Linked DNA regions of Stegostoma tigrinum. The main gene of each other region encodes a partner of the protein of the gene in region 2 in a complex. Links are inferred from orthologs where the notes say so. Each region holds a gene or a part of one and is shown on either strand. Other genes may lie near its edges. The genes, in order: ppp4r2b, smek1 and ppp4r4.

Evidence for each region.
Region 1: smek1 (region 2) and ppp4r2b share a complex: the UniProt entries of both Homo sapiens proteins name them as parts of the PP4 complex. The link is inferred for Stegostoma tigrinum from reciprocal best matches to the Homo sapiens genes PPP4R3A and PPP4R2.
Region 3: smek1 (region 2) and ppp4r4 share a complex: the UniProt entries of both Homo sapiens proteins name them as parts of the PP4 complex. The link is inferred for Stegostoma tigrinum from reciprocal best matches to the Homo sapiens genes PPP4R3A and PPP4R4.

What each region holds. Positions count from the first base shown.
Region 1 is NC_081364.1:39,750,792-39,758,006, forward strand, and holds the start of ppp4r2b (serine/threonine-protein phosphatase 4 regulatory subunit 2-B), read right to left. Parts: upstream 3,025-7,215; 5' UTR 2,969-3,024; coding exon 2,935-2,968; intron 2,813-2,934; coding exon 2,731-2,812; intron 1-2,730. UniProt on the Homo sapiens protein: Regulatory subunit of serine/threonine-protein phosphatase 4 (PP4). May regulate the activity of PPP4C at centrosomal microtubule organizing centers.
Region 2 is NC_081363.1:7,135,881-7,142,860, forward strand, and holds the start of smek1 (serine/threonine-protein phosphatase 4 regulatory subunit 3), read left to right. Parts: upstream 1-3,957; 5' UTR 3,958-4,487; coding exon 4,488-4,629; intron 4,630-6,980. UniProt on the Homo sapiens protein: Regulatory subunit of serine/threonine-protein phosphatase 4. May regulate the activity of PPP4C at centrosomal microtubule organizing centers.
Region 3 is NC_081363.1:25,918,303-25,925,753, forward strand, and holds the start of ppp4r4 (serine/threonine-protein phosphatase 4 regulatory subunit 4), read right to left. Parts: upstream 3,022-7,451; 5' UTR 1,873-3,021; coding exon 1,780-1,872; intron 1-1,779. UniProt on the Homo sapiens protein: Putative regulatory subunit of serine/threonine-protein phosphatase 4.

The DNA.
Region 1 (7,215 bases), on a different chromosome or scaffold from region 2:
GGTGGCGAGGGAGAAAGGAGCTGGGGGTGGCGAGGGAGAAAGGAGCTGGGGGTGGCGAGGGAGAAAGGAGCTGGGGGTGGCGAGGGAGAAAGGAGCTGGGGGTGGCGAGGGAGAAAGGAGCTGGGGGTGGCGAGGGAGAAAGGAGCTGGGGGTGGCGAGGGAGAAAGGAGCTGGGGGTGGCGAGGGAGAAAGGAGCTGGGGGTGGCGAGGGAGAAAGGAGCTGGGGGTGGCGAGGGAGAAAGGAGCTGGGGGTGGCGAGGGAGAAAGGAGCTGGGGGTGGCGAGGGAGAAAGGAGCTGGGGGTGGCGAGGGAGAAAGGAGCTGGGGGTGGCGAGGGAGAAAGGAGCTGGGGGTGGCGAGGGAGAAAGGAGCTGGGGGTGGCGAGGGAGAAAGGAGCTGGGGGTGGCGAGGGAGAAAGGAGCTGGGGGTGGCGAGGGAGAAAGGAGCTGGGGGTGGCGAGGGAGAAAGGAGCTGGGGGTGGCGAGGGAGAAAGGAGCTGGGGGTGGCGAGGGAGAAAGGAGCTGGGGGTGGCGAGGGAGAAAGGAGCTGGGGGTGGCGAGGGAGAAAGGAGCTGGGGGTGGCGAGGGAGAAAGGAGCTGGGGGTGGCGAGGGAGAAAGGAGCTGGGGGTGGCGAGGGAGAAAGGAGCTGGGGGTGGCGAGGGAGAAAGGAGCTGGGGGTGGCGAGGGAGAAAGGAGCTGGGGGTGGCGAGGGAGAAAGGAGCTGGGGGTGGCGAGGGAGAAAGGAGCTGGGGGTGGCGAGGGAGAAAGGAGCTGGGGGTGGCGAGGGAGAAAGGAGCTGGGGGTGGCGAGGGAGAAAGGAGCTGGGGGTGGCGAGGGAGAAAGGAGCTGGGGGTGGCGAGGGAGAAAGGAGCTGGGGGTGGCGAGGGAGAAAGGAGCTGGGGGTGGCGAGGGAGAAAGGAGCTGGGGGTGGCGAGGGAGAAAGGAGCTGGGGGTGGCGAGGGAGAAAGGAGCTGGGGGTGGCGAGGGAGAAAGGAGCTGGGGGTGGCGAGGGAGAAAGGAGCTGGGGGTGGCGAGGGAGAAAGGAGCTGGGGGTGGCGAGGGAGAAAGGAGCTGGGGGTGGCGAGGGAGAAAGGAGCTGGGGGTGGCGAGGGAGAAAGGAGCTGGGGGTGGCGAGGGAGAAAGGAGCTGGGGGTGGCGAGGGAGAAAGGAGCTGGGGGTGGCGAGGGAGAAAGGAGCTGGGGGTGGCGAGGGAGAAAGGAGCTGGGGGTGGCGAGGGAGAAAGGAGCTGGGGGTGGCGAGGGAGAAAGGAGCTGGGGGTGGCGAGGGAGAAAGGAGCTGGGGGTGGCGAGGGAGAAAGGAGCTGGGGGTGGCGAGGGAGAAAGGAGCTGGGGGTGGCGAGGGAGAAAGGAGCTGGGGGTGGCGAGGGAGAAAGGAGCTGGGGGTGGCGAGGGAGAAAGGAGCTGGGGGTGGCGAGGGAGAAAGGAGCTGGGGGTGGCGAGGGAGAAAGGAGCTGGGGGTGGCGAGGGAGAAAGGAGCTGGGGGTGGCGAGGGAGAAAGGAGCTGGGGGTGGCGAGGGAGAAAGGAGCTGGGGGTGGCGAGGGAGAAAGGAGCTGGGGGTGGCGAGGGAGAAAGGAGCTGGGGGTGGCGAGGGAGAAAGGAGCTGGGGGTGGCGAGGGAGAAAGGAGCTGGGGGTGGCGAGGGAGAAAGGAGCTGGGGGTGGCGAGGGAGAAAGGAGCTGGGGGTGGCGAGGGAGAAAGGAGCTGGGGGTGGCGAGGGAGAAAGGAGCTGGGGGTGGCGAGGGAGAAAGGAGCTGGGGGTGGCGAGGGAGAAAGGAGCTGGGGGTGGCGAGGGAGAAAGGAGCTGGGGGTGGCGAGGGAGAAAGGAGCTGGGGGTGGCGAGGGAGAAAGGAGCTGGGGGTGGCGAGGGAGAAAGGAGCTGGGGGTGGCGAGGGAGAAAGGAGCTGGGGGTGGCGAGGGAGAAAGGAGCTGGGGGTGGCGAGGGAGAAAGGAGCTGGGGGTGGCGAGGGAGAAAGGAGCTGGGGGTGGCGAGGGAGAAAGGAGCTGGGGGTGGCGAGGGAGAAAGGAGCTGGGGGTGGCGAGGGAGAAAGGAGCTGGGGGTGGCGAGGGAGAAAGGAGCTGGGGGTGGCGAGGGAGAAAGGAGCTGGGGGTGGTGTCGGGGGGGGGCGAGGGAGAAAGGAGCTGGGGGTGGTGTCGGGGGGGGGGCGAGGGAGAAAGGAGCTGGGGGTGGTGTGGCGGGGGGCGCGAGGGAGAAAGGAGCTGGGGGTGGTGTGGGGGGGGCGAGGGAGAAAGGAGCTGGGGGGTGGCGTGTGGGGCGGTGAGAACGGAGAATGGGGGTGGTGTGTGGGGGGGTGAGAACGGAGAATGGGGGTGGTGTGTGGGGGGGTGAGAACGGAGAATGGGGGTGGTGTGTGGGGGGGTGAGAACGGAGAATGGGGGTGGTGTGTGTGGGGGGTGAGAACGGAGAATGGGGGTGGTGTGTGTGGGGGGTGAGAACGGAGAATGGGGGTGGTGTGTGTGGGGGGTGAGAACGGAGAATGGGGGTGGTGTGTGGGGGGGGTGGTGTGTGGGGGGGGTGGTGAGAACGGAGAATGGGGGTGGTGTATGGGGGGGGTGGGTTGTTTAGCCTTCCTCACTGTGAACCCTCCGACCACCCACAACTCTCCCCGGCTGAGAACTGAGTTGAGTTCCCTGCTCCCTCCCGGGCCTCAGGGCCCTCTCTCTCTCTCTCTCTCTCTCACGGTTTCACTCACAGGGTTTCTCCCGTCTTCGCGACATGACAAAGGAACTGGTCCAACAGCGACGACACTTCCTTCTTGGATTTCTTCTCGAAATCTGCCGGTGGGAAAGACACACACAGAGAGCACAGGTTATTCAAAGCCGTGGGGATCGGGATTCCCAGTCCCGCGGTGAGACACAAACCACCAACTAATGTTCGTTCGTCTGCCACCACTGACCTGACAGAGCTTCCAGGAGGCTCTCCGTCTCCATCTTGGAGGTGCAACTAAAACCGATTCCCCCTTTCCCCCCCCACCCCCGCGCCAGAAACCGGGACCCAGAGTACCACCGAATAAAGTTTCCCCCCGTTCCCTCTTTCAGTAGACAGCGGGCCCGGCACTGGGTGAAACACACAACATGGCGCCGCCCGCAGACGTCACTCCCATCGCACGGCGCGGTGGCGTCATCCACGCGCCTCGACGTGATGACGCCATCGCAGCTGGCGCAGGCGCGCATGAGCGGGCCTCCGAAGGCGAGGTTGACTGTCACGTGTGCGTCCCTTTCGCCCCACCCCCTACGTTGAGTATCATCACTGTGCGTCCTGGATATTCAATTGCTTCCCCAGTCTTTAAGCTCCTTTTTATGACGAAAGTGCGCCGAGGGAGGAGCTGTCCGAGGAACATTAAATTCCTACGCGTTTATTCCTGCACATGACGTAGAAATTGCGTGTAACAAGTGTGTTGGAGAAACTCTGTCTTCTAAAACTCTGTCTTCTAGATTGTGGCAAACCTGCTGTGTTTCTCTAGGTCTGGCGGCACCTGAAGGAACAAACTTTCCCCTATCTGGAGAAACCTCCCCCGCAGAACGGGCAGCCCTCCACTCCAACCCCAACCTCACCATCAAACCCGCAGACAAGGGTGGCGCAGTGGTAGTATGGCGCACTGACCTCTACATCGCCGAGGCCAGACGTCAACTCTCCGACACCACCTCCTACCGCCCCCTCGATCATGACCCCACACCCGAGCACCAAACCATCATCTCCAACACCATTCATGACCTCAACACCTCAGGGGACCTCCCACCCACAGCCTCCAACCTCATTGTTCCCCAACCCCGCACGGCCCGTTTCTATCTCCTTCCCAAAATCCACAAACCTGCCTGCCCTGGTCGACCCATCGTCTCAGCCTGTTCCTGCCCCACCAAACTCATCTCCACCTGTCTGGACTCCATTTTCTCCCCTTTGGTCCAGGAACTCCCTACCTGCGGCAGTGACACCACACACGCCCTCCACCTCCTCCAGGACTTCCAATTCCCTGGCCCCCAACACCTCATTTTCACCATGGACGTCCAGTCCCTATACACCTGTATTCCGCATGCAGATGGCCTCAAGGCCCTCCGCTTCTTCCTGTCCCACAGGCCCGACCAGTCCCCCTCTACCGACACCATATCCATCTAGCCGAACTCGACCTCACCCTCAACAACTTCTCTTTCGATTCCTCCCACTTCCTACAGACAAAGGGGTTGGCCATGGACACCCGCATGGGCCCCAGCTATGCCTGCCTCTTTGCAGGTTACGTGGAACCCTTTCCGCACCTACACAGGCCCCAAACCTCACCTCTTCGTTACATTGATGACTGTATCGGCGCCGCCTCTTTCTCCCCAGAGGAGCTCAAACAGTTCATCCACTTCACCAACACCTTCCACCCCAACCTTCAGTTCACCTGGGCCATCTCCAGCACATCCCTCACCTTCCTGGACCCCTCAGTCTCCATCTCAGACAACCAGCTTGTAACTGATGTCCATTTCAAGTCCACCAACTCCCACAGCTACCAAGAATACTCCTGCAAAAATTCCATCCCCTATTCCCAATTCCTCCGCCTCCGCTGCATCTGCTCCCACGATGAGGCATTCCACTTCCGCACATCCCAGATGTCCAAGTTCTTCAAAGACCGCAACTTTCCCCCCACAGTGGTCGAGAATGCCCTTGACCGCGTCTCCCGCATTTCCCACAACACATCCCTCACACCCCGACCCCGCCACAACCGCCCAAAGAGGATCCCCCTCGTTCTCACACACCACCCCACCAACCTCCGGATACAACGCATCATCCTCCGACACTTCCGCCATCTACAATCCGACCCCACCACCCAAGACATTTTTCCATCCCCACCCTTGTCTGCTTTCCGGAGAGACCACTCTCTCCGTGACTCCCTTGTTCGCTCCACATTGCTCTCCAACCCCACCACACCTGGCACCTTCCCCTGCAACAGCAGGAAATGCTACACTTGCCCCCACACCTCCTCCCTCATCCCTATCCCAGGCCCCAAGATGACTTTCCATATTAAGCAGAGGTTCACCTGCACATCTGCCAATGTGGTATACTGCATCCACTGTACCCGGTGCGGCTTCCTCTACATTGGGGAAACCAAGCGGAGGCTTGGGGACCGCTTTGCAGAACACCTCCACTCGGTTCGCAATAAACAACTGCACCTCCCAGTCGCAAACCATTTCCACTCCCCCTCCCATTCTTCAGATGACACGTCCATCATGGGCCTTCTGCAGTGCCACAATGATGCCACCCCAAGGTTGCAGGAACAGCAACTCATATTCCGTTTGGGAACCCCGCAGCCCAATGGTATCAATGTGGACTTCACCAGCTTCAAAATCTCCCCTTCGCCCACCGCATCCCAAAACCAGCCCAGTTCGACCCTCCCCCCACTGCACCACACAACCAGCCCAGCTCTTCCCCTCCACCCACTGCATCCCAAAACCAGTCCAACCTGTCTCTGCCTCCCTAACCTGTTCTTCCTCTCACCCATCCCTTCCTCCCACCCCAAGCCGCACCTCCATCTCCTACCTACTAACCTCATCCCACCTCCTTGACCTGTCCGTCTTCCCTGGACTGACCTATCCCCTCCCTACCTCCCCACCTATACTCTCCTCTCCACCTATCTTCTTTTCTCTCCATCTTCGGTCCCTGCCCCTCTCGCCCTATTTACTCCAGAACCCTCACCCCATCCCCCTCTCTGATGAAGGGTCTAGGCCCGAAATGTCAGCTTTTGAGCTCCTGAGATGCTGCTGGGCCTGCTGTGTTCATCCAGCCTCACATTTTATTATCTTGGTTTCTCCAACAATGTATGTTTTTGTTTCAGATTTCCCGAATTCGCAGTTCTTTGTTTTTTTTTGTCGGAATTATGCAGATGCACCTGTTCAGAGATGCATCAGTGCAGATAATGCGGATCAATTTTATGTTTTTGGAATATTTTCATACTTCAACCTGGGCTGAAATACTTTGGGAAGCTGCTTGTACCAAGCCACAATTTTTGGCACAGCGGTACGTATGTTCTCGAAACCTTTTGCCAACACTTTCATTCATGGATAGAACAGGTTGATCCAGTCAAGGTTTTGACATGAAAGAGTTGCACACATCCAACTCAATGACTGAAACTCTGCAGTTGCTATTCTTATTAATATTTGATTTTTAAAGTAATTCTTGATCAATTGGGAAGGCAGTGGCATAATGGTATTATCACGAGACATTAATCCAGACATCTAGGTTATGTTCTGGGGACAGATGATGGGATTTGAATTCAATAAAAATCTGGGATTAAGATTCTAATGATGACAGTGAAACTATTGCTGATTGTCAGGAAAAATCCATCTAATCACTAAAGTCTTCCAGAGAAGAAATTTTGCCATCCTTATCCAATCTGGCCTACATGTGATGCCAGATCCACAAGAATGTAGTTGACTCTCATCTGCCGTCTGGGCAATTAGAATGGGCAATAAATATTGGCCTTGCTAGTGATGATGTCCATGTCCTGTGAATAAACTTTTTAAAAGCTGCCTCAGACCCCAATATCTGTGTTCGTAATACTTGTGGTTCTGCTGCAGCCATGATTTTGCAGTTACACTTCTCCAATGTAGAACAGATATGGGGATGACTCTGGACTGCAACTTTGGAATGTACTAAGTTTATGATACCCCAGAAAAAAATAGGCTTATGCAAAACTATCAAATATACATTTCTTCCATCAAATTTTACATCAAAGCCATGTTAATTTTTACCAATATGGATACTATACTGATGCTTTAGCACACTTCAAACTCATACATACACATAATTATGTTTGTAATTATCCTTACAAAAATCAACATGTATATTTGCGCAGTTTCAACAGTTATTTGTATAGACCCTGTAATATAATAAATAAAAATTCCCAGCACACGTCACAGGAACATTGTGAAATAAAATATTGCATTAAAAAAAGAAGCAGGTTTCCAAAAATCATTGTGAAAGTGATCGTTTAGAGGATATTTTAAAATAAGAAATTTTGAAAGGCAGAGAGGCTTAGAAAGGAAATTCAAGAGTTTTCCGGAGCTGAGCCAGCTGAAACCATGGCCACCATTGGTGAGGCAATAAAAACCAAGGGATCAGAGTGTGATGAGTGCAGAAATCTGAGGATTTAACTCTAAATTAGATTACAGAGATCAGAACAGATGAGATCCTGGAGGGATTT
Region 2 (6,980 bases):
GCTTTTTATTAGGCTGATTTGGTAAATAGGTTTAAAAATAGGTAGTATCCAGGCAGAAAAAATAATAAAGAAGTCTAATGGAATGCTATCAATTATGAGGAATTGAACATAAAAGTAGGGACACTATGCTTCAATTATACAGAGTGTTTGTGATATAACATCTCAGATATAGTGCAGTTTTAGTCTCCTTAGTTCAGAAGGCAAGTAAATATGTTTGATGTGGTTCAGATAAAGTTTACTGGATTGAAGATATCAAAGTGTAGAGCTGGATGAACACAGCAGGCCGAGCTGCTTCAGAGGAGCAGGAAAGCTGATGTTTCGGGCCTAGGCCCTTCTTCAGAATTGAAACTTGCATTGGAATGTGTTTGACAAAACTAGTGTTTTTTTTTGGTACACTATTATAGAATTGATAAGAGAAAATCATTAGAAGTGGCATTCAAAAGGCTTTTGTGAAATTGCAGGAAATTGGTTATTAAGATTAGAGCAAGTAGGAAACAAGATACTAGCATAGATTAAGAAGTAGCTAACAACAGGTAGAAGCAAAGAGTAAGAATGAATGGTCACTTTCACATGGCGAGCTTCAACTAGTGAGGTAATGCAAAGATCAGTACTTGGTCCCTATATTTGCTACATATTAAACCCATATATATAAAATTTGAATATGAGGACTGAATGTGATACTTCTAAGTTTGTAGCTGACTCAAAGCTAGCACAAAGAATGTCTGCAGTGAGGAAGATATAGTGACTTCAATTTGAATTGATATGGCAGATGAAATGTGGAAAATTGTGAGGTTATCCATGTTGATAGGAGAAACAGATATGCACAGTATCAAGTGACACAGATATACCTCTTAAATAGCAAGAGATTTAAAAAGTGTAGATGTAAAAAAGGACAAGGTTCCACATCACTAAATGTCTAAATGCAACAAGCTCCATGAGTGTTTCAAAAAGGGGAGACGACTGAAGTACATGAGATCCTGAATAGACTTGACAAGGGGAATGTGGAAGGATGGTTCCCTCTTCTGTATTAAGTCCAGAACTTGGGGTGCGGGTTGATATTTAAAAATTAGGTGTTATCCTTTAAGGCAGAGAAGAGCACAATATTTTTCTCTGATAAACCTCTGTGACGTTTTAGGTCACTATCTCAGAAGGCAATGGAAGGTTAATCATTGAACATTTTTAAGGCAGTTAAGACCTCAAGACCATGAGATGAAGGAACAGAAGTAGACAATGTGGGATCATGGCTCCACTTTCCTACCTTTTCCTCATAACCCTTAATTCTTTTGCCGATTAAAAGTCAATCTCAGCACTAAACATAGTTAATGACAGAACCTCAAAACCTTTGCAATAAAGAATTGTACAGAATTCACCACATTCTGAGGGGAAAAAAAAATTCCTCATCTCCTACCTTAAATGGGTGACTCCTTACTCTGAAGTTATGTCTTCTGGTCCTAAACCCTCCACAAAGGGAACAGAATTTCTCAACATCTACTGCATCAAGCCTCAGAAAGATCTTATATGTTTCAATACAGTCTCCTTTCGTTCTCCTAAACCCCAACGAATACAAGCCCAACCTACTCATAGGGACATTCCTCCTTACCAAGAATCAACTTAGGAAAATAGGGAGTCCTTAGTGTATACAGATATTCGGATGGAGTGGAGAGATATCTTGATGGTCACTCATTGACCCCACAGTACAGGGATATCCAAATGATCACTTGTTGGCTGATTCCTTCAGTATAGTGACGTCCTGATGGTCACACACTATACGACACCCACAGCATACAGGCATCCTTATGGTCACTCATTCGCTTACTGAACTCTCGCACAGGGCATCCCGATGGTCAAATGTACTGACTGACCCCTCAGTACAGCACACTCCTGGTGGTCACTCTCTGACCTGTCATCACAATACTTCTTTTTTGATGAGAAATAATGGGAACTGCAGATGCTGGAGATTCTGAGATAAAGTGCGGAGCTAGATGAACACAGCAGGCCAAGCAGTCACTGAATGACCAACGGGCACTATCAGTGATCATTCATTTACTGACCACTCAGCACAATGGTCCTCCCAATGATCACTTTAACACAAGGTCCTCTTGACAGTCTCTCACTCATTGGCCTTCCTGCCTCACATTGGGACCCTACTAATGGTCACACTGACATTACACCTCAGTCCAAGGTCTTCTCAGTGGTCGCTCACTGATCCCTCAGCGTTGCTCCCGACGGTCTCTCACTGACTGATCCCTCAACACCAGGTCCTGCTGAAGGTCAGTCACTGGCTGAACCGTCAGCACTGGGCTTTCCCAGTGAACTCTGACTGACTAACCTCTTAGCACTGGGTCCTCCCAATACTTACTCACTTACTGACCCCCTCAGCTCGTGACCCTCTCGATAGTCACTCACTAATTTACCCTTCAGCACTAGGTGCTCACAATACTTACTCACTTACTGACCCCCTCAGCTCGTGACCCTCTCGATAGTCACTCACTAATTTACCCTTCAACACTGGGTGCTCACAATGGTCCCTTATTGATTGAACGCTCAGTGCTGGATCCTCTCGATGGTCACTCACTGATCCCTCAGGACTGTGTCCTTTCAATGGTCACTGACTGACCAGCCCCTCAGCAATAGGGGCCTCTTCATGCTCACACACTGACTCCTCACAGTGGGTCAACCTGGTGATCAAACACTGACTGAACCCTCACACAATGATCACACCCAATGGTCACTCACTGACTGATCCCTGACACAGAAGACCAGCTCAGTGGTCACTTGCTGACACCTCACACAATAATGTCTCCCAATGATCACACACAGTGAGTGTGAACGGTGACCCACTGAACCTACACAGAGTGGGTCAACTCACTGGTCACTCATTGACTGATGGTCACCCTAACTGACCCATCACACAGCAAACCTCCCAATGGTCACTCACTGACTGACCTCTCAGATGGTCATCCTCCTTGTGGTCACTCATTGATTGACTCCTTACATGGTGGTCAGTTACTGAAAGGCCCCACACACTGTGGTCTTCCTGATGGTCACTCACTGGCTGACCCCTCACAGTGGTCCTCTCAACGTTTATTCATTGACTGATTTCTCATAATGGTCCTCCCGCTGGTCACTCACCCCTCATAAAATGGTCCCTCTTAATGGTCACAACTGACTGACCTCTCATATGGTGGTCAATATCTGACTGAACACTCACATGGTGGTCCTCCCAGTGATCTCCACCTAACTGACCCCTCACATGGCGGTCCTCCCAAAGGTCACAACCTGACTGGCCCCTCACACAGTGGTCTTCCTGACGATCACTCACTGAGCCCTGACACGGTGTTTCTCCCAGTGATCACTCACTGAGTGACCCCTTACACAGTGGTACTCCCGGTGGTCACTCACTGGTAGACCCCTCACACAGTGGTCCTCCTGGTGGTCACTCACTGAGCCCTCACACGGTGGTACTCCTGGTGGTCACTCACTGATAGACCACTCACGTGGCGGTCCTCCCAGCGTTCACTCACTGACTGACCGCTCACACATTGGTCCTCCTGGTGGTCACTCACTGAATGACCGCTCACACATTGGTCCTCCCGATGGTCACTCACTGACTAAGGCCTCACACGGTGGTCCTCCTGGTGGTCTCACTGACTGAGCCCTCACACAGTGGTAACAACCTGACTGACCGCTCACACATTGGTCCTCACAGTGGTCACTCACTGCCTGACCCCTCACACAGTGGTCCTCCCGATGGTCACTCACTGACTAAGGCTTCATATCGTAGTCCTCTGGTCACTACCTGACTGACCCCTCATACGGTTGTCCTCCCGGTGGTCAGCCGCCACCGATGGCCGTTCGGCTGGGAGCGCGTGAGCGGGCGGTTTAGGCGGGAAGACGGCCCCTGGCAGGAGACCCCGTGCTGCCTGTCGTGGGGGGGGGGGGAGAGGATGCAACATGGCGGCCGCTGGATGAGGGAGCGGCGGCGGAGTTTCCGAGGGGGGGGGCGGAGGAGTAGAGAGCGGGTGGGCGGCCTCTTACAGGCCGTAGAGTCAGCGAGCGGGGGCAAATAACCTCCTCTTCGAGTTCGGAACAAGAAAGGACACATTCAAAAAAATATATACCGGAATGAGGATTTAAAATCATCCAGAGTTATAGACCTGATTCTGTCATCAACGAGTGGGTGTTGACGCCACGGAGCAGGATAGAATTTGTCGGCTGCGGGAGGGAGAGACTTTTCCCGGCCTCTTATCACCAGAGCCCAAGGCATCGGCCTGGGCCTAGGTCTCGGAAGGATGAGTGCCCTGTGAATTCAGCCCGATTGTCTATTGTTTTTTAAATCTTAGTTTGACTTTTTAAAAGGTATTTATTTTTGTTGTTTCTCAAGCGCGTTTGGAGGAGGGGAGAGTTGAGGTTGGCATCGGTTCCCCTCCACAGCGTCTTCCTACCCCCGGGCTTCCTCCTCCCCTCCCCGAGCCTGAGCCACGGCAATGGCGGACACCCGGAGGCGGGTGAAGGTTTATACACTCAACGAGGACAGGCAGTGGGATGATCGTGGCACCGGACACGTCTCTTCTAGCTATGTGGAGCGCCTGAAGGGAATGTCCCTCCTGGTCAGGGCCGAGTCTGACGGTAAGAGATCCTGGGATAAGATTATGCCCCTTTTCAGAAGGGGTGGGTGGGTGGGACTGGGGGTGGGAGTGTAGCAGCTACCTGACAGCGTGTTCTATCGGTGAGAAATTACAGGCCTCAGCCCTCGATCCATGGTTGTGTTACTCTCTCTTGAACTGTTGTGTTTATATCTGAAGTTGGAGCCTCTCGTTACGAGATCACTGTGGCGTTTTTTGTATGCTTCTATTTTTTTTGTGGCGCTAAAGATCCCTCCTTTGCGCGGCACGACTCGAAAGAAGTTTAGTGTTGTACAAAGAGTTTATACCTATCCCTCATTAATCCTCGAGGGGGTTGTCCACCTGATTTGTATTGGCCAACAGTCTCCTGAAGGCATTCCTTTTTTTTCTCCCAAAGGAGAACATTCTGGCTGTACTTGATTGAATTTTCTATATAAGTCCTGGAGAAACTCAGCAGGTCTGGCAGCATCTGTGGGGAGAATCAAAGTGAACGTTTCGAGAGTGACTCCTTTTCGTAATATCCATTGTGTGATTTTTGATGTGGACTTATATATGGAGTGGCATGAATACTTTCAGAAATAAAGAGAAACATTTAAAATAAACTTGAGAAAAACAAAAAGTTTATGCCTTTTGAGAACCAGCTTTCCCTCGTTCAGCATTGTCAGGGTTATTATTGACTTGTTTAAACACACATTGGAAGTTTTCTTCCAGATGGCATCACTACTTAAGAGAATTGATTACATAGGATAATATTTTCCAACACAATCTTTTTGTCCACTTGTCAGGTGATTTTAAAGAGCTGCAGTTCCACTTCCTGACTGTTTAATACTGTTTCATAAGCAACTTTTGAGGCATATTTTAATCACTACCTCCTCGATTTAACTTTCCTCAGTCTCATTTGTTCTCATTTGTTCCCATTAACCAGTATATTTGGAGATTGGCTGATAACATTCTTCTGTCTTCTACCCACATAGGCACACACTTTGGGTTCTTTCTGGAACATAGTGTATGCTAGGCCAACACCTGTTATCCAGCTCTAATTGGTGTTGCAGTAAGCTGCCACCTTGAAACAGCAGTGTTGCTCAGAAGGAGGTTCCAGGATTTTGATCCAGTGACAGTGAAGGTATAGCAACAGTTAGTGTTGGGACAGTCTATGGTTCAAAGGAATCTGGTCCCGTATATCTACAGTCCTTGTTATTATAGGTGGCAGAGGTTAAGGGTTAGAACATAGAACAGTACGGCACAGTACAGGCCATTAGAGTAGGATAACAGGTTGGCACGACATCATGAACCTAAGATCAAACTACCCTGTATACCCTATAATTTACTGTCATTCATGTGCCTGTCCAAGAGTTGCTTGAATATCCCAAATATATCTGACTCCACTATCACTGCTGGCAGCACGTTTCACACACCTACCACTCTGTGTGAAGAACCTACCTCTGACATCTCCCCTATACCTTCCTCCAATTACCTTAAAATTATGCCCCCTCATAAGTCATTTTTGCCCTGGGAGAGAGGTCCCCAGCTATCCACTATATCTATGACTCATCATCTTGTACACCTCTATCAAGTCACCTCTTATCTTCCTTCACTCTGATGAAAAAAGCCCTAGCTTCCTCAACCTTTCCTCAAGACCTGCCCTCCAGTCCAGGCAGCATCCTGGTAAATCTCCTCTACACCCTCTCTAAAGCTTCCACATCTTTCCTATAACCAGGGTTTTATAGAACTGCAGCATAACCTCATGGCTCTTAAACTCAATTTCCCTGCCAATGGAAGCTAACACACCACATGCCTTCTTAATAACCCTAACAACTTGGGTAGCAACTTTAAGAGTTCTATGGACACGGACCCCAATATCCCTCTGTTCCTCCACACTGCCGAGAATCTTGCCATTAACCCTGTATTCTGCATTCAAATTCAACCTTCCAAAATGAATCACTCCACACTTTTCAGGATTGAATTCCATCTGCCACTTCTTTCCCCAGCTCTGCATCCTGTCAATGTCCAGTTGCAATCTACAAAAGCCCTCCACACGTTCTACAACTTCACTGACCTTCTGAGGAATGGTCACCAGACCTGAAACGTTAACTCTTTTTCCTTCACAGATGCTGCCAGACCTGCTGAGCTTTTCCAGCAATTTTGTTTTTGTTCCACCAACATTCATGTCATCAGCAAACTAACTTACCCACTCTTCCATTTCTTCATCCAAGTCATTTATAAAGATCACAAAGAGCAGGGGACCCGGAACAGAGTAGGTCGGAAAGTGTTTTAAGGGAACCTGGGTAAATTATCATTGATGGGGTAAGTTAATGGCTAAGATGGTGAATGGCATGCCAGCCAGTCAGGGCTCTT
Region 3 (7,451 bases), about 19 Mb from region 2:
TTAGTTTTCAGACGTTTCATCACCATTCTAGGTAACATCATCAGTGAGCCTCCCACGAAGCGCTGGTGTTATGTCCCGCTTTCTATTTATCTGGTTAGGTTTCCTAGAGTTGGTGATGTCATTTTCTGTTTGAGAAGATTTGTAGCTCAGGTTGAGGTTCTGGATGTGAGTTTGCTCGCTGAGCTGGAAGGTTAGTTTTCAGACGTTTCGTCACCATTCTAGGTAACATCATCAGTGAGCCTCCGACGAAGCGCTGGTGTTATGTCCCGCTTTCTATTTAGGAAATGACATCACCAACCCAAGGAAACCTAACCAGATAAATAGAAAGCGGGACATAACACCAGCGCTTCATCGGAGGCTCACTGATGATGTTACCTAGAATGGTGACGAAACATCTGAAAACTAACCTTCCAGCTCAGCGAGCAAACTCACATCCAGAACCTCAACCTGAGCTACAAATCTTCTCAAAACTCGCTATTTACAACAATGTTGCAACAAGGGCACATCTGCCTGTTTGAATCAGTGTAAAAGAGCCCACAGACATGATTTATATACCTCAATCAACATCACAAAAAACACATTAGCTTGTCATTATCACCGCTGTTTGTGGAAGACTGTTTGCATAAATTGACTACTTCACTTTCTTCATTATTACACTGTAATGTGGTATATGAATGTAAATCTTCCTTTCTCTTCTTTCTACTAAAAGCATCTTATAATGGATAGTGATGAAAGGTTTATATATGCATTTGACAAACCATACAGCGTAAATTGCTCAAACTGACAAGAGTTTGCTAAAGCCGCCTCATCAGCCAAAGTGCTCTTTTTGGCAGAAACCATTTTTTAAAAGAAGAGTTTTAAGGTTATCAATCCATGCAGATTAACAACATACAGATACAGCGAAATACGGAAAACAGTGGAGAAACTGGATGGGTCAGACAGTTTCTGTGGAGAGCAGTTACTATTTCACTCTCTCTCCTCCTCCTCTGCTGCCCTGCTGAGCATTTCCAGCCGTGATTTTCTTTTAATTCACATATCCAGCATCTGCATTTTGATTTAGCATTGATTTAAAATTCAGATTCATCTGTTCTGTTGTACATAGTACTTTTAACAAAAATCTAGTTTGTATCATATCAGAAATGTCTCCATTAAATTAGTACATGAGATAGCAAATAGATTTCACATTGTAACAAGGTCCATGTTAATATTTGTTCAGAAATATAATCTGACCTATTCAATCTTGATTTATATTTGTCCCAATTTTTTCATATATCGATTAAATAAATCTAAAATTAAGTTATGGATTGAAATCTTAATAAATATGCTCGATATAAATGGCAGCGACACTTAAAATGTTAATAATGAACTGGTAAATGTTCTCGTTAAAATGAGTCATAATGTGCTAACAATTTCAGTGCGTACGGCAGATTTGATGTCTCAGTTGCTGATAACTTACATGATATAGCTTCTCTACCCTACGGCTGTAATCGGTAATAACTAGTGGAACTGTGTAACAAATCTGATTTTGTCTCTGTGCCCGAGACAGGCAGTCAATTTTCGCTTTAAATACATTTCCAGCACAGTGATTCAGGGGTAACGCAGGCTCTGCCTTCATTGCGCTGCAAGCGCAGCCCAGTGTAACCTTGATAGCTCTACTTACATACACGGATAGTGTACCTCATACATACATAATATGCACATACATATATATACATAATATATATATTTTCCACCATCACCATCATCCAACAACCACACTCCCCTTTCTCACATACACACCTTCAGGTATCGACGCACTGGTCTTTCGATGAAGCTAAGTTCCTGCAAATCTTCTATTTGCCCGAATAAATTCTCCTGGTTGAAATCCATCATTTTTTAAAAACAAAATAAGGATTCGAAGAGATGAGAATAAAGCAGCAGAGAGTTCGGGGAGGATGAAGACCTGTGTGCGTTTGTGTGTGGGTGCGGGTTTGAGCCGGGATCCGGGGGTGGGGAGAGGAGGCTGGGGGAAGAGTGTGCAGAGTGGTGGGGTGAAACTGGGGTGGGGTGGAGGTGAAGGTGGGGATGGCGAGAGGGAATAGAGAATGAGTGTACTGGTGGGAAGAGAAGGTGACGATGATAGGGGGAAGAACAGAGGATTAGAGCGGGGGAAAGAGTATGGGGAGGAAAGAGGGTGAAGATTGGCGGGGGGAGACGATGGGGGTCGGGGAGGAGAGTATGGGGAGAAGAGGGTGAGGATTGGGGGGAGAGGGTGAGGATCGGGGGAGAGAAGGGGGTGATGATCGATAGGGAGAAGAGGGTGAGGATTGGGGGGAGAGGGTGAGGATCGGAGGCGGAGAGGGTGACGATCGGAGGAGGGGGAAGAGGGTGAGGATCGGAGGCGGAGAGGGTGACGATCGGAGGAGGGGGAAGAGGGTGAGGATCGGAGGCGGAGAGGGTGACGATCGGAGGGGGAAGAAGGTGAGGATCGGTGGCGGAGAGGGTGACGATCGGAGGTGGGGGGGAAGAGGGTGAGGACCGGACAGGGCGAGAGGGTGCGTAAGGTGAAGGGAGGGAGGGTTGCGGGTGGAGAGAGGGATCAGAGAAGGGGAAGGTGGTCAGCGACTCTCCGACGATCCTAGCACCATATATCCCGGTATCCGAGCCGTCCGACCGGCAGTTGGAAGATGAGGCGCCACCTCTCCCAAACCTCGCTCTCTGCCCTCCCCCCGCCCCCACACCAGGCGGTGGAGGCTTAGGTTACCGGGGGTCTTCGGCCTCTTTCGGATCTCAGCGGCAGACTATCCCTTTCCTTTTCACCTGCCGTCAATCCACCAGGCGCAGGAGCTGCGTTACCGCCCCGCCCCCCCAACACACAAACGCTCTGTGTGGTATCTCTGTAGGTCACAGAGAGGGTCTTCGTGGTTATCCCCGAATCCGGGGGGGGGGGGGGGGGATTGTCCGAAAAGAGCGAAGCGGCGATCGTTTTCCTTCTCCCCAGAGCGGAGCCGGAGACGGGAAACCTCGACGGGCAGGTGAGTGGGAGGGAGGGAGCAGTGTGACCGGGACTGGGTTGGGGTGGGGGTGGGGGGAGGCGGTGAGGGGGTGGGGGGAGGGAAAGGCGCGCGGGGGCGGGGATGGACCTCTCCGTCTCCCTGGGCAGCCGCCGTCGCCAGGGCAACGAGTCGCTACGGCGAGCGTCGAGCGTCCCGATCTCCCACGCACGTCGGGACGGAAGGCGTTCGCTCGTCAGTTCGCACCTGCCTCGGGGACCGTCTTGACGTCCCTCACCCTCCCTTATCAATCATCACTTGGAGTTTAGTTTTCCTTTAATCCCGTCCCTGACGCACTCAAATCGCGGAGAACGCAAAGGACAACGAGGTTGTGGGTCTGGGGTTGGAGGGAAGAGTGGATCTGGAGTGTTTAAATTTTCGCCTCACCAACCCGTACACCTCTGGAGCAGGTGGGACGTAGTACCCCTCCTAGTACAGAGTCAGGGCCAATGCCACCAGCGTCTGGTGTGGGCCCGGATAGGGGGCTGCAGTTTACCTTTGACGATTGACTCCAAACAGTGATTTCTCCCAGTGTGAATCATCAAGTCTAGTGGGTGGGGGTCCTATTGTGTAAACCATGATTAATGCTGGAGGATCACTTGTGTTACATGTGCTGCTGGCAGATGCTTCAGTTTTCTGTGGGAATTCAGTACTTTTGGCGTTTCTGAAAAAGTAAAGATATTCTGCCCTCTCTCCCCAAGCTCGTGAACTCTTTTCATTTTTGCTGGAGTATCATCTCATGGCCTTTAGCCAACGAGCCATTTTAATGGGTGTCGTTTCCACAGCTCACTGGTAACTTTCCAAATCACAAGGTTGTGGGTTTAAGATTTTTGAGCACAAGAGGGAGGCTCACCCCTCCACTGAGAAACCATAAACAGTAGGCCCTTCAGCTTATTAAGTCTACTTGCCAATTACTGAGATCATAGCTGCTCTGACAATCATCAACTCCACTTTCCTGCCTTTTCCTCTATAACCCTTGACTCCCTTACTGAATAAAAATCTGACTTGCACTTAAGATCATCAAGATATGCGGCATGGAAACAGGCCCTTTGGTCCAACTCGTCCATGCTGATGATTTGTCCTATGTAATTCTAGTCCCATTTGGCCCAACTCCCTCTAAACCCTTCCTGTTCATATACCCATACTTTTAAATATTGTAATTATACCAGCCTCCACTTCCTCTGATAGTTCATTCCATACATGTGTGAAAATGTGACCCTTTAGGTCCCTTTTATATCTTTCCACTCTCAGTTTAAAGCTATGCCCTCTAGTTTTGTATTCCTCCACTCAGGGAAAAGACCCTGGCTATTTACCCTGTCCATGCCTCTTGTGATTTTATAAACCTCTACAAAGTCACACCTCAGCCTCTGACACTGTAGGGAAAATAGCCTGAGCCTATTCAGCATTTCCCTATGGCTTAAATCATCTCTACACTGTTGCATGATGACTAATAACAAACAACAGTACAGCCCTGGAAAAGGCACTTCAGCCCCCAAGATTGCACTGACACATAATGCCTTTCTAAACAAAAAAACCTCTTGCCTCTATGCTATTGATTTCCCTCTCTTCCCTGCCTATTCATATGTATGCCAAGATGATTCCTAAACATTCTATTCCACCATTTCCTCTGGCTATGCATTTCAGGGAATTACCATCCTCTGTATAAAAAAAACCAACATCTCACCTTTTAAACTTATCCCCTTTTACCTTAAATCCAAATCCACTACCTAGTATCAGTGATAATGGGAACTGCAGATGCTGGAGAATCCAAGATAACAAAGTGTGGAGCTGGATGAACACAGCAGGCCAAGCAGCATCTCAGGAGCACAAAAGCTGATGTTTCAGGCCTAGACCCTCTCCCTGGCAGTGCTAACCACTGTGCCAACATTTGTCAAAAATTTCATTCCACATGCAAACCACCCTCTGTGTAAAACATTTGCCTATCATGCATTTTTTATATCTCTCTCCTCTCAACTTAAATATGTGCTCCCTAGTCTGGAAATCCACCATCCTGGGGAAAAGATAACTTCCAGTAACTCCATCCATACCGCTATTATTTTATAAACTTCAATAAGTTCACCTCTCAACCTCCTATGCTCCAGTGAAAAAAGTTCCAGACTATCCAGCCTTTCTTTATAACTCAAACCTTCCATACTCGGCAACGTCCTAGTAAATCTCTTCTGAACCCTCACCAGCTTAATAATATCCTTCCTATAACTGGGTGACCAGATTTGGCCACAGTATTCCAGAAAAGGGCTCAACAACACCCTGGAAAACTTCAACATGGCTTCCCAACTCCTACACTCAAAGCACTGAGCAATGAAAGCAAGCATGTCAAATACCTTTTTAACTACCCTGTCTATATGTGATGCTAACTTCAAAGAATAATGTACCTGCACCCCTTAGTCCCCTGTTCTAAAGTACCACCCAAGGCCCTACTTCTAATTGTATAATTCTACACTGGGAAAAAGACTCCAACTATCTATTTTATCCTTGCCTCTCAAAATTTTGTAAACTTCTATCAGGTTTCTCTCATCCTTCATTCAAGTGAAAACAGACTAAGTTTGTCCAATCTTTCCTCATATCTCATACCCTCCAAACCAGGCAACATCCTGGTAAAATGTTCTGTACCCTCTCCAAAGCCTCCACGTCCTTCTGGTATTGTGGCAACCAGAACTGTACACAATATTGCAAATGTGACTTAACTAAAGTTCTGTACAGCTGCAACATGACTTGTCAATTTTTATACATAATGCCCCAAGTTTTGAAGGATAAAGCATGCTATATGCCTCCTTGACTATCTTATCCACTTGTGGGTAACTGGGAAGTGTTGCCTAGTGTACTGACTGATCCCTCAACCATTGTTCCCTGTGGTCAGTGTCACATGGTCTCGTGTACGGGGCCTTGAGTGCAATTTAATGTCTATGGCTCCCACATATAACGGTGTCCGCACTTGAAAAGTATTTACATGGAACGCAGAACAGTACAGTACAGGAACAGACCCTTTAGCCCATGATGTTGTGCTGAACATGATGCCAAATTAAACCAAACCCTTCTGCTTGCCCTTTCTTCATATTCCTCCATTCTTTGCAAACCCATGTGCTTATCTATAAGTATGTTAAACACCCCTACCATATCTGCCTCCACCACCAACCCTGGCAGTGAGTTTCAGACTCCTACCACTCACTGTGTAAAAAACCCCTCAGATCTCCTTTGAACTTTCCCCTTTCATTTTAAACACATGTCCCTTAGTATTAGACATCTCAACTCAGGGGAAAAGATTCTGACCATGAACCTTATCTGTGCATATCATAATTTTACAGACAACTGTCAAGTTTCCCTCAACCTCAGCTGCTCCAGACAAAACAACCCTAATTTTTCTAGCCCATCCGTATATAGCTCATACCCTCTAATCCAGGCGGCATCCTAGTAAACCTCTTCTGTCCCTCTTCAAAGCCTCCACCTAATTGGCTGTAAAGTATTTTGGGTTAGCTTGAGGTCAAGAAAGGCACCATATATCTTCCATTTTTCACCTGGGATTTTTCATATGGTGAATAAAAACCAAAAGAACTGCGGATGCTGTAAATCAGGAACTAAAACAAAGTTGCTGGAAAAGCTCAGCAGGTCTGGCAGCATCTGTGAGGGAAAACAAAAACAGAGTTAACGTTTTGGGTCTGGTGACCTTTCCTCAGAACTTTTCACATGGTGTGTTGACAATCTATTATAAAAATGTTCATCATATTTTTGTCCTCTCCTGTTCTACTCAAAAACAAAAGCTAAATGTCTGCTAAAGATATGAAATAATAATAAAAATCTCTTGAAATACTTTACACTCCTTTGGAGTGGAAAACAGAGTTAATGTTTCATGTTAATGAGCAACAGATCCTGGAATCCTCCAAACCTATTTAGCTCAACATCACAACAATGTGACTATCTGGTTTGAACCCAAATGGTTAATGGGACCAAAACCAGTCAGCATGTTAAACTGCAAAACTGTGATATCAAGGATAGCATCAAATGCATTTTAAAAGTTAACAAGAACAATCATTTGCACTAACAAAATGTACTGTAGCAACATAAAGCTCTTGGCCTGATATATATATATATGAATAAAGCTAAGGTTTAAAATGGAGACCACTCTTAAAGTAAGTACAAAAGAGAAGAAATTAGAGCAAAATAAATCACACACTACAAAGTAAAGAATTATTGAAAACAGAAAACATGGTGAAAGTTTCAATATCTACAAGTAAAACAAATTAAATGTAGTAATATAGTTGTTTGAAATGCAAGTAAGCTGATATATCTGTTATTCAAAGAAAATACTGGAAGGATATATGCCCACATCCTGACTGCAAAACATTTGATGATGATCAGAATCATCACACTGTAATTTGAGCTAATGATAGTTATCCCTTGAGT